Elephas maximus indicus: one gene and its partner. The protein of the gene in region 2 interacts with the protein of the main gene of each other region in a biochemical or structural test. Links are inferred from orthologs where the notes say so. Each region holds a gene or a part of one and is shown on either strand. Other genes may lie near its edges.

Evidence for each region. The genes of interacting proteins can lie anywhere in the genome.
Region 1: the proteins of CDK7 (region 2) and GTF2H3 form a complex in vitro, tested with the Homo sapiens proteins (2 studies listed by BioGRID). The link is inferred for Elephas maximus indicus from reciprocal best matches to the Homo sapiens genes CDK7 and GTF2H3.

Annotation. Positions count from the first base shown.
Region 1 is NC_064840.1:6,741,757-6,748,810, forward strand, and holds the start of GTF2H3 (general transcription factor IIH subunit 3), read right to left. Parts: upstream 3,067-7,054; 5' UTR 3,006-3,066; coding exon 2,993-3,005; intron 379-2,992; coding exon 299-378; intron 1-298. Other genes in the region: EIF2B1 (translation initiation factor eIF-2B subunit alpha), read left to right, coding at 3,270-3,282, 4,342-4,443, 6,445-6,581, 6,714-6,830. UniProt on the Homo sapiens protein: Component of the general transcription and DNA repair factor IIH (TFIIH) core complex, which is involved in general and transcription-coupled nucleotide excision repair (NER) of damaged DNA and, when complexed to CAK, in RNA transcription by RNA polymerase II.
Region 2 is NC_064820.1:74,677,811-74,685,540, forward strand, and holds the start of CDK7 (cyclin-dependent kinase 7), read left to right. Parts: upstream 1-4,626; 5' UTR 4,627-4,737; coding exon 4,738-4,803; intron 4,804-5,122; coding exon 5,123-5,182; intron 5,183-7,730. UniProt on the Homo sapiens protein: Serine/threonine kinase involved in cell cycle control and in RNA polymerase II-mediated RNA transcription. Cyclin-dependent kinases (CDKs) are activated by the binding to a cyclin and mediate the progression through the cell cycle.

The DNA of each region.
Region 1 (7,054 bases), on a different chromosome or scaffold from region 2:
ATGGGGGAATTTTATGGTATGTAAATTATACCTTCATAAAGCTGTTTTATGGAAACCCTGGTGGCGTAGTGGTTAACTGCCACGGCTGCTAACCAAAGGGTTGGCAGTTCGAATCTGCCAGGCGCTCCATGGAAACTCTATGGAGCAGTCCTACTCTGTCCTATAAGGTCGTTGTGAGTCGGAATCGACTCAACGGCACTGGGTTTGGTTTTTGTAAAGCTGTTTTTTGTTACAAAGCAATATAAACACGTTCTCAGTTAAACCAGAATCATCCAAAGGCTTCCTTAAGCAGTCTTACCTGAGATTCTTTTAATGCTTGCTTTCCCCACCAAATTGGGTTGGTGTCAACTATGATCACTAGAAGATTCAATTCATCTTCTGAAAATGTTAACAACAACAAAAAAAAATACATTAGTCTCATGAGAGTGAATCACCGCTAACATTCCCCATTAGTACAATTTAGAGCAAGCACCAACACATGCTTTTATATGTTTATCATCCCACAGCCATATTAACAGAAGGCCAAATTCTTTTAAAGATTTAAAACTTAGTGGGTCCTGAGCACGCTCTCGCCTGCTTTCCATGTGATTGTACCTTCCCCCTTTCCTCCTCCAAGCCACTGCGTTCTTTCTTGTGTCACAGGAGTAAAAGGTCTGACAAATTCAAGGACCAAAAGCAATGTTACCTCTTTCTTCCCAAAGCCTTCCACAGGTCTTCCAGCAAGAGATCCTGACTCCCTCCTCTCAGGTGAGAGGGAATGCCAGCCTTCTCTGCACCAAGCACTGGCATATATAATCCCATAATCCTGTTTTATACTAAAAGCAACCCAACAAGGGACATATGAATGCTGTCTTTCATCAGTTATAAGCATTCCTTTTTCCTTTTATTTTTATATTTATGAATCCTGTCTTTCATCAATTACAAGGCATTCCTTTTTTTTTTTTCATTAAACTCAGGGTGGTGCCTTACTATTAAAATTGACAGCATGTTTTGTCTCTTCAGAGGTACATAAAATAACAGCATGTCATCTTAGATTACATGAAATACAGTATTCTCATTTTGCAAATAAGAGCAAGTTGCCCAAAGTCACATGTCCTGCTGGCAAGTGGCAAAGCCAAGACCTTGCTGTAAAGACAGATCTCCTTGACTCTAAAGACTGTAGTTTTTCATTGCCCCACAGCCTGACTCTGACCACTAGCTGCACCAATGGACACTCCTCTAATGACATTTAGCTCTCACTACCTCATGTTAGTTAGTTGTGTGCTTCTCATCTCTCTTCCCAGCCCTGCTCACTAAACTGTGGAGGCCTTAAAGAATGATTTTTGCTAGTCTTGGGACAAATGACGTAATAAGTGTAAATCACAAAGTGGCTAGCACAGAAAAAAAAGAAGCAGGGCTTTAATAACTGTCTCTCCCACAGGCCCTCACTTCTCTACCCATAAGCCCTCAAACCTTTACCTGTATTCCCCATCAGGCCCCACCTCACAATTCTCAGAACCGTTAGTTCTCTGATGTTACCAAGACAGCCTGAGAAAAAGAGAGTATGTTGCCTGTGTGGAGAGTTATGTGTATCAGTACATCCAAAATGTCCCTGTGAACGTCCTTTGGGTCTCGACCTCCTCATCTGTAAATAGGGACAACAAAGCCAGGTCTGCCCACTGCCCTGACAGGGAACACAAAAGAGAATCCCTGATGGAGCAGGAGAACAGTGGGATGCAGACCTCAAAAAGACCAGACTTATGGTCTAAGACTGGAGGGACCCCAGAGGTCATGGCCCCCAGACTCTCTGTTAGCCCAAGACTGGAATCATTCCCAAAGCCAACTCTTCAGACAAGGATTGGAGTGGACTATATAGACAAAATGATACTGGCGAGGGGTGAGCTTCTTGGCTCACGTAGACACGAGACCATGTGGGCATCTCCTGTCTGATGGCAAGATGAGAAAGCAGGGGGGACAGGAGTTGGGTGAATGGACATGGGGAATACAGGGTGGAGAGGAGGAGTGTGCTGTTATATTAGGGGGAGAGTGGCTAGGGTTACACAGCAAACTGTGTGTAAGTTTTTATATGAGAGACTGACTTGATTTGTAAACTTTCACTTAAAGCACAAGAAAAGAAAAGCCAGGTCTGCCCCCCTCAAAGGGATGTCGTGTATATTAAAACAGATAAGAGAAGCATGGACCATTTTTACACCCTCAGAATGGATCTTCCTATTTCTTCTCTTGCTCACACAGTCCATTTTCCACACAGCAAACTGATCTTTCAAAAATGTAAATTAGATCATAATATTTCTTAAGTATGCATCACACTTAAAGCTCCAGCTATGCGGCCCTGCATGATGCAGCACCTGGCAGCTCTCTGGTCTCATCCTCTTCTACTGTCCTTCTAGTTCAGTCTGCTCCAGCCATCCTGGCCTCCTTTTTCTTCCCTCAAGACATCATGCTTCACAGCTTGTAGTTTACTGTATGAATAAATGCCTCCCCACCTTCGCCATCACCAGGTTCCCCAGTTCTGTCTTCTCAGTAATGTGGCGTCTTGACCTGCCACAAGGCCTTTGCACTTACAATGCACTCCCCCAGGAACTTCGCATGGTCGACCCAAGTCTTAGTTTAAACATTACGATCTTCCCTGGACTGAAGTAGCTCTTGCTCCCTCCACTAAGCACAAGCTACCACATCATCCTATCATATTGTCTTCGTGGCTCTTGTCATCCCTTGAGATTATTTTTGTTTTCCTGCTCATTGTCTGTCTCGCCCACTAGAATGCAATGCCATGAGAGCAGAGACCTTGTCTATCATGGTCTCTGCTGTATCCTCAGCGCATAAAATAATGCCTAGCACACAGTACCCGCTCCACATTTACTGAGTGAACGAATGAATGAATGCATTCGCTACTCCTCTAAACACCAAATACGTCCCATCCAGCCGAAAAACTACACTCCATTTCGCCGGTCCTGGCCGGGCAGAGTCCGCCCAACCCCGGCGCAACTCTCACCGTCTGAGACCATGGCGGCCTCCGCGCAGAGCCAGCAGCAATCGGGCGACCGTCGGGAATCCGCGGACCGACTTCCGGCGCTGCCCAGTGACGTCGGGACAGGTTTGGACGGGGCCGCGCCGTACTCGTAGACACGCTCCCGGCGCGCCGGAAATGGGCTGCAGAACTGCGGCGCGCGCTGTCAGTCTCAGCGGCTTCGAGCCGGCACAGTCGCGGCATCTGTCGAGGCAGCGCGGGTGCTTCTGATCTTCCCGAGCTTCGCCGTCCGGAGCGCACCATGGACGAAAAGGGTAAAGTGGGGCGAGGCAGGCTGGGGCCACTGCGCCTAAAGCGGGTCGGGGTCTCCCATCTCGCACGCCCAGGCTGCACACGGAGAGAAGAGAGGTCGCTTTCCAAGCTCAGGCAGCTCTGCAGCGTGTCCTTCTTCTAGTAAAAGCTACATCTCCCTCGCTGCTCCTATAGGTGGGGGATGGGCCCTGAGAGTGTCCACAGGCACTGCCCTCCCCCGCGCGCTTCTTCCCATGTCCATTCTCCAAAAAAGTGAGACTTTGGACGAGCGTGCAGGCCTTCGAAGACTCGCCTTCTTCGTATGTGAAATAGCAATAAGACTCCCTGCCCTAGTGGATCTGTTACAATCTAAAAAGTAAGGCATAGCCGACATACTCCTCTAATATGGTTTTGAAGACATTTAAGTAAAAAACAAGGAGCAAGCTAATGTACAAAGTACCTATCATGTAAAAAAACAAAGGGTGGTGGAATTCTGCGTACACAGATGTGTATATGTGTGCGTGCGCTTGAATTAGCCAAGACTCTCCTTGAAAGGATGTAGAAGAAACTGATAATGGTGGTTGATTCTAAATCCTCTCAGGACTTGGGATTAAGGATAGGAGAATGACTTTTCACTATCATTTAGCAGAGCTTGAATTTTATACCATTGAACATGGACGGCCTTTTCAAAATGAGACAGGAAGAAAGCTTACGAACAGTAAAGTGGCGTCATTTCCGTTCCCATTAACATTTGTCGTCCCCCTGAAGTTCACTTACAGCCAAAACCTTGAAAAGAAAGTATTCCTTGTTTTGTTTCCTACTGTTGTTATCGTTAGGTGCTGTCGAGACGATTCCGACTCCTAGCGACCCTAAGTGACAGAGCAGAACTGCCCCATAGGGTTCCCAATGCCATTATCTTTAGGGAAGCGTATCACCAGGTCTTTCTCCTGTGGAGCTGCTGACTGGGTTTGGACCACTAACTTTTTGGTTACCAATTGAGTGCTTAACCACTGTGCCACCAGGGCTCCTTTTTCCTAAGGTTAATAGTCATTAACCATGTCTCTTTTTTTCTCCTTTCCCAGAGTTAATTGAATACTTCAAGTCTCAGATCAAAGAAGATCCTGACATGGCCTCAGCAGTGGCTGCCATCCGAACTTTGCTGGAGTTCTTAAAGAGAGATAAAGGTAGGAGAAGAGCATCCTCAAACATGCTGGGCCTTAGGAAAGTCTTCCAATAGCTGTTAGGAGAAGTGAAGAAAGTGAGAGATGTATGTCTGCCTACGTTAGGTCTTAGAGCTCCAAGCTCACATTCTTCTTCATTTAAGCGTTCCTTTTAACCTGTAGAGAGTCCTCAAGTTATCATCAAAGGGCTCCCCCCATTTCAATCTCTGAGTATTGACAATTTTATTTATTTCCAAATCTTTTTTTAAATTTTATTTGTTGTTGTTGAGAATATACATAACATACACCAATTCAACAGTTTCTGTATGTACACTTCAGTGACATTGGTTACATTCCTCAAGTTGTGCAGCCATTCTCACCCTCCTTTTTTGAATTGCTCCACCCCCATTACCATAAACTCACTGGCAAAGGGCCCCCCTTTTATAAGTGAAATATCCTTTCTGTGCGAGTAACTGCTGTATCAAGGTAACTGTAAAGTTTAAAATTTAGCAATACCTCAGCTTTACAAATGTTTATCGAACGTTTTCCCTGTGCCAGATTCTGTGCAGGTGCTAGAGAGAATGTCCTGGAATAAATTCTGGACTTAATGACATTAACTGTGATCTATTAATTCAGACATCCTAAATGTAAACACTTGGGTATTAAAAAAAACACACCAAACCCATTGCTGTCGAGTGGATTCTGACTCATAGCAACCCTACAGGACAGGGCAGAGCTGCCCCATAGGGTTTCCAGTAAGCACCTGGTGGATTTGAACTGCCAACCTTTTGGTTAACAGCCAAGCTCCTAACCATCATGCCACCCGGGTATCTACGTGGATGTAGCATGATATTAAAGAGCCCTCTAAAGGGCTGACCTAGAGACCGGTGTCTCTAAGACAGTCTCTAGTGTCTTCCCCTTGTCCTTACAATAACATGCAAAGCCCTGGGCCTCCACCACGTTGCACACCTCCTCTGCGTCTGCTACCTACTTCCTTCTCTGCTCCCCCTCATTGAGCTCTGCTTCAGTCGTGCTGGCACCTCTTTTTTCCTCAGGCCAAGTTTGTGCCCATCTCTGGGACTTTGCGTTGTTATAGTCTACGCCTGGTAACTTTCCCACCGGATCTTTATGGGGCTGGATCCTTCCTTAGTCTGGTCTCAGTTTAAATGGCCCCCATTCCAGGAGGCTACCCCTGTTGTTGTTGTTATTGTTAGCTGCCATGAGGTAAGTTCCAGCTCATAACAACCGTATGTACAACAGAATGAAAAACTGTCTGGTCCTGCTCCATCCTCACAATTGTTGCTGTGTTTAACCCCATTTTTGGAGCCACTGTATCCGTCCATCTCATGGAGGGTCTTCCTCTTTTTCGCTCACCCTCTTCTTTACCAAACATGATGTCTTTCTCCAGGGACTGGTCCCTCCTGATAACATGTCCAATGTACGTGAGACAAAATCTCACCATCCTGGCTTCTAAGGAGCATTCTGGCTGTACTTCTTCCGAGACAGATTTGTTCATTCTTTTGGCAGTCCGTGGTATAGTCAATATTCTTCAAGGACACCATAATTCAAATGCATCAATTTTTCTTCAGTCTTCCTTATTCATTGTCCAGCTTTCATGTGCATATGAAGCAAATGAAAATTCCATGGCTTGGGTCAGGGGCACCTTAGTCCTCAGAGTGACAGGTTTGCTTTTTAACACCTTAAAGAGCTGTTTTGCAATACATCGTTAATCGTAAAGCAGTGGCTGCACCTTTCTCATTCTGCTTTTTTCTGTCCCCGTTACATCTGTAATTAACTTGCCTGTTTATCTGGGTGCTTGTTTATCGTCTGCCCCCTCTTCTAGAAGGGGAGTTGCAGCAGAGCAGGGACCTTATGCATCTTGTTCACTGATGTTCCCTCAGCAGCTGGAGAACCCAGGCTTAGTGTACGCACCCAGTAAATAATCACTGAATGAATTCATGAATCTCAGCCTCCACAAGGGGCTGTGGTGCTAAAAAGAACACATTCCTCGTGTGGTCATTCCAGGGGAGACAATCCAGGGCCTGCGAGCGAACCTCACCAATGCCATAGAAACCCTGTGTGGTGTGGACTCCTCTGTGGCCGTGTCCTCTGGAGGGGAACTCTTCCTTCGCTTCATCAGCCTGACCTCCCTGGAATACTCTGTAAGCCCTGCCCTCCCACTTCCCTATTTGCTTACAAACACCCTCGGCCTTACTGTGACCCTCTCCATCCTCTCATGTCCTCGGCTTTACTGTGACCCTCTCCGTCCTCTCACGTTGCTCTTTCCTCCCTAGGATTACTCCAAATGTAAAAAGATCATGATTGAGAGGGGAGAGCTTTACCTCAGGAGAATATCGCTGTCAAGAAATAAAATTGCAGATCTGTGCCACACCTTCATCAAAGACGGGGCCGTAAGTAGATGTCTATCACGTGCGGTAATGAGGAGCAAGGGCTCTGGAGTCAAACTGCCAGAGGTCAAATCCTGGCTCTGCCACTCATTTGCTTTACAACCTTGGGCAAGTTCCCAAACCTCTCTGTGCTGCCGTTTTCACAAATGTTAAATAAGGGTAATAATAGTACCTGCCTCACAGGGTTGTTAGAAGAATTAAATGAGTTAGTATGTGTAAACGTCTCG
Region 2 (7,730 bases):
CATAGCCAAGGTAAAACAGGTGACTTTTTGGTACTGAGATTGGAGATAACACAAAAGATTGTTTGTAACCTATACTCAGAAAAAATGTCAAAGAGTACAAAATGGAAAATAAATCGAGGCCAAAATGACCACAGCATAGGAATAAACGTTTGACTAGAAATTGTAATTTATTAAGTTTTGAGGGCTGTTAAAAAGTCTTGTTCTTTGGTTTATTTTATTGTTTTCATGTGATCACGTGTGCAAATCCTGATAACCAGTAACTTTCTCAAACGTTTCTGAAAGCCTCATAAAATCAACTTAATACTTATCTTATTTAAGGTAATTTGTGAAAATTTAATAAGGTTTTCCTGCCCCAAGGGTATGTATTGTGAAAGTAAAGCCTCACAAAGCCAAATGAATTCTCTTACATACCTTTGGTGATTTTTAGAATATGCCTTAAAGAAGTCAATAGTAAGGGTAGCTCATGAGCAATAGACAAAGTAGAATTGTTGTTGAATACATTTCTATATTCTGTGAGTTAATCTATACTTTCCTGTATCCTGCCAGTGTTGAACTGCTGCTGGTGTAAATTCTGTATTGTGGCCCACTGTAAGTGTTGCCCAACTCAAATATCAGATAAGGGTTTGATGCTTGCAGTATGTTGATAACATAAGTTGTAATGGTAACTCATGAAAAATATATGGTTCGTAATTCCTTTTTATTATTTAAAAAATGTTTTTGGAAAAGCATTTTTTTTTTCTAACTAGCATTATTCTTTTTTCCCCTGTCAAAATAAATAACTCAGACCGCCATTAACAGATTGCTGTGCAGGTTTAATAGACAACTTTAAAGTTGGGCAACATGTCATTACTCAGTACATCAGTGCTCCAGTTAAGTAAAAGATTTTCAGGGTACTTATATATAATTTCATCAGGAATTTTGAAGAAAAATTGTTACCAGCTGAGATTATATCAGAATACGTAGATCTTATAAGAGAGCAGTATGTGCTCAAACATTGTCAAAGCTTAGATAGAAACCGTACTAAGACAATCACAGATCAGTGAGCCATGGCTTTAAGACCTCTGGAGTCTTGGAAACAGGACTTGTCCATTAATCTTTAATTGTTTTCTGAAAGAATCAAATTTCAAGTGGTTCAGTGAGCCTGATCACCTAAATACAATTATGTGAAACTCAACAAGCTGCTTCTAAAAGTTAGTTACAGTTCAAGGCATAACTATAAGCTTTAAGATATATATATAAATATATATAATTACACAACACATAGGTTTCTAACATTTAGTAAGATAACCTTTAGTGTCATGGACAAGAGACCTCTGTTTTCATAAAGCAAAACTTACAATTTTATTTTATACCCCTTAGTTTTTTTATTTCAGTGAAAGGAAGCCCAGGACCATTTTTTTTTTGTTTTTTTTTGGAATCTATTATTGATCCTGTAGACAGAAACTGATGGAGTGAACTTAAAACAACAATAATCACTTTGACTTGGTTACCTAGTGCTGCTGTGACACAAATACCACAGATAGGTGGTTTTAAAGAACAGAATTTTATTTTCTCACAGTTTTGGAGACTAAAAGTCCAAATCAGGATCTCAGCTGTGTCAGTTCCTTCTCTGAGCCCTTCAGTTTCTGGTGTGTACCAGCAATCCTTGGCATTCCTTGGTGTTCCTTGGTGTCTGTCTTCTGAGTGTGTGTGTGTGTCTTATCTATTCTGGTCTTTTTATAACTCAAAGTGATTAGGTATAGGATTCAGCCTATATTGGCATGACATTAACATAACAAAAGAAAACCCCCTATTTTCAAACAGGGTCTTATCTACAGGTACAGTGGTTAGGATTTCAACACATATTTGGTGGGGGGAGGGGGACACAATTCAATCCCTAGCACACTTCTGACACAGAGAAACACAGGAGCAGTTTGGCTGGACAGTTCTTAGTGTCTTGTGAGGCTGCAATCAGATGCCACCTGGGGCTGCAGTCATATGAAGGCTTGGCTGGGGCTAGATGATAAATGCCCAAGGTGGCTCAGTCATATGGCTAGCAAGTTGGTGCTGGTCATTAGCAGGAAGCTTCAGTTCTTTCCATGTAGGCCTCTCCACAGGACTGAGTGAATTCATATGGTGGCTGACTTCCTCCACAGCATGCAAGGTAGAAGTAGCAATGCCTTTTATGACCCATCCTCAGAAGTCACACAAAGTCACTTCTGCCATACTTCACTGGTCACACAGTCTGTTTTGCTGCGGGAGAAGACTACACAAGTGCATTAATACCAGAAGGCAAAGATCACCGGAGGCCATCTTGGAAGCTGGCTACTACAGATACGTGAAAGCACTTTGTAAAATGCAAAATGATATACAAATGCTGAACAGTATTTTATACATATGACCACATTACCCCAGAATATCATCTAAAATGTCCCCAAATAGGAATTTACTTAGTAGCATGGTTATAATGCTGCAGTTATGAACTCCTATACCACAGTACGCTTGGGAGCCTCACAGGTGCACCATCAAATTTAGCTCATTATTTAGCTTATTTCTGCTTCAAGTTTAGGTAGATTACTGTTACAGTGATGTCTGTCAGAAGGAACTTTGACCTAGTCATGTGACACCATGCATCACGAGGTATTACTTGCCACAAGTAAAAGAGTTAGCAGTGTTAAAGTTGGTATGTCTTCTGTAATACAAGAAATTATGCCTGAGTGCATCAGCTCAATAAAAACCCAAGTAGTGACAAAGGGCTTAAAGGTGACCAATGACAGGAATGGTCAATATAAACTGAGCACTCAGCTGTCAGACACTAAGGGCTTTTATAAGTATGAACACACTATAAGCCAGTCCTATTACAGAGAAGAAACTAGGCACAGAAAAGTTTAGTAATTTCCCCAAGTCAAACATCTAGTGATTGAATACTGGTGAGGACAGTATTAAATTGCAAACAGTCTGGTTTCAAAGTAAGAACTCAGCCTCTACACTATACTACCTCGACTACAAAATTACCCTTGGTAATTCTGCTGCCTTCTTCAACACATCTCTGAAGATAGCATTCTTAACTCCTAGAAACATCAAATGCAAAGACAAGGGGGTAAACCTTTCCATCTTTATAGCAGCTCAAGCTCAAAACCTTAAAATCGCCCCCCTCCAATATCCAGTGTATCTATAAATCTTATCTGCTAAAAACCAAACCAGCCATCTGGATTACTGTAATAACTCTTTAAGAGACCTTTTTTAAATTACTACTTTATTTTTTTATTCTTGAAAGTATACACAGCAATACACCAATTCAACAATTTCTACATCTACAATTCAGTGACAATGATTACATTCTTCAAGTTGTGCAACCATTCTCACTCTCCTTTTCTGAATTGTTCCTCCCCCATTGACATGAAGTCACTGCTCCCTAAACTTCCTATTTAACCTCTGGAGTTGCTGTTGTCAATTTGATCCCATATAGTTTTTTTAAAAGAGCACAATGCTGAAGGCAGACATTCTTTCTGAGTAAGCTAACCTGTTGTTTGGTTTGAAGAAGACTTCAGGGGATTATAATTTAGGTTTAAAGGTTATCTTAGGACAATAGTTTCAAGGCTTCACCCAGGCTCAGTGGCCCAGAAGTCTGGATTCCATGAGAATCTGAAATTCTCTAACAGACCTTGCTCCTCTAAATCTAGTCTCTCACAACAACCAAAGTAAACCTTTTAAAAGAAGTCGGATCATATCTTTTATCTACTCAAAATCCTCCAATGGCTTTTCATGATGTTTTTCCTCAACCACCCTATTTAAAATAACACTCCCTTATTATCTCCATAGCACTTATCACTAAGTATCTTAACATATTTTGCTTATTACCTGTTTCTCCCACTGGAATGCTGATTTTTGTTTTGTTCCTTGCTGATTTCTCAAAGTCTACACCAGTGCCTGGCACATAGTAAGCACTCAATTACATATTATTTCAATGAGTTAATATGTTAACTTTATTTTGTTGATTTGTATGAAAATTGATAGGGATCTAGAAGTTGGGTATTTATCACAGATAACACACAGAGCACTTACGTGTCTAAACTTTCTAAGTGTTTCATCTAATCCTCACCATCCTATGATGTAGTCTATTATGATTTCCAGTTTAAAGGGTAGAGAATTGAGGATCACAGCACGTTTCAACTGAGTTGAATTTTTAGACCTGCTTTATAAATGAACTGGACTAAGAATGCCTCTAGACCAGTCCCTAAGAAAGTGACACCTGGTTAAGTAACCTGTGATCGCGGAGCTTGGCGTCCATAGCAACCGTGGCGAGGCCATACACGATCATGAACTAGCTACAAAGGGAGATCAAGGAAAAGGACAAGCCTCCCACACTCACACACACCTACCAAATTCCGAACTGAGAACACCAAATCCGAACGCCGACCTGTCTCCAGTAGCTAAGAAAAGACCCAAATTAAGAACTGTAAAAGGGTGACGCAAACAGCCACCATCAGATACACTCCTTTCGCGGAACCCGGAGTAGACTACGTCGCAAGGCGGGGGCGGTACAGCCCAGCCAATCAGCCGGGTCTCATGCAGCTTCCGGAGGGCGGACCCCGCTGGTATCCACTTAGCAGTACCCCGCCCATCCCGGAAGTGGGGCGGGGCTACTACAGTGTGGGAGTCCAGTGAACGGAAGAGGCTGTGGGAGCCTCTGAGGTAGCTTTAAATTCGCTTGGTTTTTGGAGCCTTACGTTTTCGGAGTCAGGCTTCACGCGCCGAATGGCTTTGGACGTGAAGTCGCGAGCAAAGCGTTATGAGAAACTGGACTTTCTCGGAGAGGGACAGGTGAGGGTCTCGTGCTGGGATTGGGAGGGCCCGGAGCGGAGAGCACAGTGCCGCCTCAGACCCTCGCGGATTTTCGCGTGGGACCAGCGGACTGGCCTGGCTGCTTGTTCTCCTTGGTGGAGGCGGCCCAGCCGCGCGTGCTACCCTTCTCTTTACACCCTAGAGGTGACCCCTGAGCAGCCCCCTCCCTTCCGAAGAACAGACGTGGAGTATCCCACCACATTTCTAGCGGCCCTGTGCTTCCCAAAATGTAAAAAAGTAAAAAGGCAATTACAAGAAAACTCCATAAACTCATATGTTATTTCTGTTTTCTGTCTAGTTCGCCACAGTTTACAAGGCCAGAGACAAGAACACCAATCAAATTGTCGCCATTAAAAAAGTGAGTTACACTTTGGGTCATTTCTCTCAAGTCTCTTTGAAAATGTATTATGAGCTGATAGATGACCGTTTTAGTACTCTTGATCTCTGCTAATAAGTTATGTCATTTTCAGAGACGATAGAATTGGGATATTGTTTTCTAAGATAGAACTCTGGGATTGAACCAGTTTGTTGTTCCATTAAATGAAACTGAAGTGAAGAAGAAACTGTACATTATTTTTGCTACATAAACTTTGTTGTTATATAAAGGACAAGTACTGCCCATCTGTTCCGTCTATTTTCTGCTGACAGAGTTACCATGAAAGGCTTTCACTAGCATTAGCAATAATGTGTGTTGCATTATATTTAAATTATTTATATAGCTTTTTTGCTTAACTCACATTGATTTAAGAAACTTAAGCCATATTCAGCATACATTCTGTGACTCAACAGTATAGCCACTCCTTTGTAAAACATCTAAACTCTCCTGATCTTTTCAAACTTCATCTTTTCGATTCTACCCCTGGTTCACTATATTCCACCACACTGACCTTTCTGTCCCTTTAACACATTAAATTCATTCCCCTCCCAGAACGTAGCATGACTGATTCCTTCTTATTTTGGAGTCTCACTCAAATGTCTCCTCCACATAGAGGCCTTCCCTGTCCACTATAGCTAAAACCGGTGTGTCCCTCTCCTTCACAGTCATTCTTTGGCATATTTCCTTGTGTCATCTTCATACCATTTATCAAATTCTAAAATTCTCTTATTTGTGAGTTTATTGTGTTTTCTTCCCCTTACATTATGCGTAGAGCTGTGACTGGCACATTTGTAAAAAACAAAACAAAATATATTGACCAGACTGACTAGTTGTTCTTGATAGGTGCAATCGAGAATAGAGTCAGTTCTAATAGTGACCCTGTAGGACACAGCAGAACCGCCCCCTAGGGTTTCCAGGGAGTGGCTGGTGGATTTGAACTGCCGACCTTTTGGTTAGCAGCTGAGCTCTTGACCACTGCACCACCAGGGCTCTGACTAGCTAGTATGATGTATTCATATTGTTGGCATATTGAGCTATATAGTTGTCTGAAAGTCCTAGTAGCTTGGCGTTTTTTGTTTGCTTGCTTTTAACATAAATTAGGACTTAGAATCTGTTTTTCAGTAATAGACTTTTCTCCTTTGAAGGTGACTTGTAGAATCTTCTTTTATGTTTAACCTTTATTTCAAATAATATATGCCTATAGTTTTAAAAGTCAGTTAATAGAACAGGATTTTAACCTGCCTGACTCCTCTTTACCCAGGTTTTCATTCCTCAGAGCACACACTTTAGACTCACCTGTTTCTTCTGGTGTTACCACCATATCTTTAAGCAATATGTTTATGTATTATTATTTCTTGAACTTTTTTTTTCCCCTTTCAATTTTAGACATTATCTATGCTTCCCACTATGAACATTGAGGATCTAGTGCTTGTGGACCTTCCCCTCCTGTGAGGCAAAGAACTCAGTTTGGCCTTTGTCTTTGGTTCCTGAGAGATAACCCTTGGAATCTCCTGAGTAATCAAGATGATTTTATTATCTAAAACCTCCAGACAACAGTTGAGGATTTGTACAAATGAGTCAAGGGGCTGGCCAGGCCACAAGGACCACCTGGTCAGCTAACCTCAGGGAGGGAGGGAGGGTGGTATGATTTAATCAATTACGCATATTCAGTGAGACCCCAATCATGACTATGCAATGAAGCCAGTAAAGGCCGTGGACATAAAAGTTCCAAGAGCGTCCTGGTTGATGAAAGACATTGATACATGTGGGAGGGTGGCATGTGTTTTGGAACATGGAAGCTTCATGTTGGTAACCCACCCTAGCCTTGCCCTGGGCATCTCTTCTTTATGCTGATCCTGATTTCTGTCTATTTTTGATAACAAATCTGTAATTGTGAGGATAGTAATTTCTGTGAGTTGTTCCAGCAAATTTTCAAACCCAAAGGAGTAATGGGAGCCAGCAGGTGAAAGTGAGGGAGACCAGGAGAGGCCCCTGAGCTTGCGGCTGGCTCCCTGAAGGGGTAGTGGGGAAACCCCTACTTTGTGCCCAGCAAGTCAGAAGTAAGGGTGTGGTGCAGACCCCCAGGCTTTCATCTGGTGTGTGCTTATTTGGCAGCCTAAAGGACAGTGTCCTTTTAAGTTGTGAAATCTATCTAGCTCCAGGTGGCTGGGGTTAGAGAAAGAAGTGCCATATGGGTGGCTGGAATCAGAACTGAACAAGGAAAGTGGGAATTTGTTATATCTTCATAGTTAGTAACAGAATAGTGGTTTTCTGAGATTTCCACAGGACAGTTGCAGTTGGGATGTGAACACTGATTTATCCTTACACCTCTCAACACCCATATATTTCAGTTTCACCCATATACAAATATAGTTTATAGCAATTTTTGGCTAACAATACAAAAATGTGTAATTTAGAAGTCAATTCTCTCCTATGCAACTTTGAGGAAACCCTGGTGGTGTAGTGGTTAGGAACTATGGCTGCAAACCAAAAGGTCAGCAGTTTGAATCCACCAGGTGCTCCTTGGAAA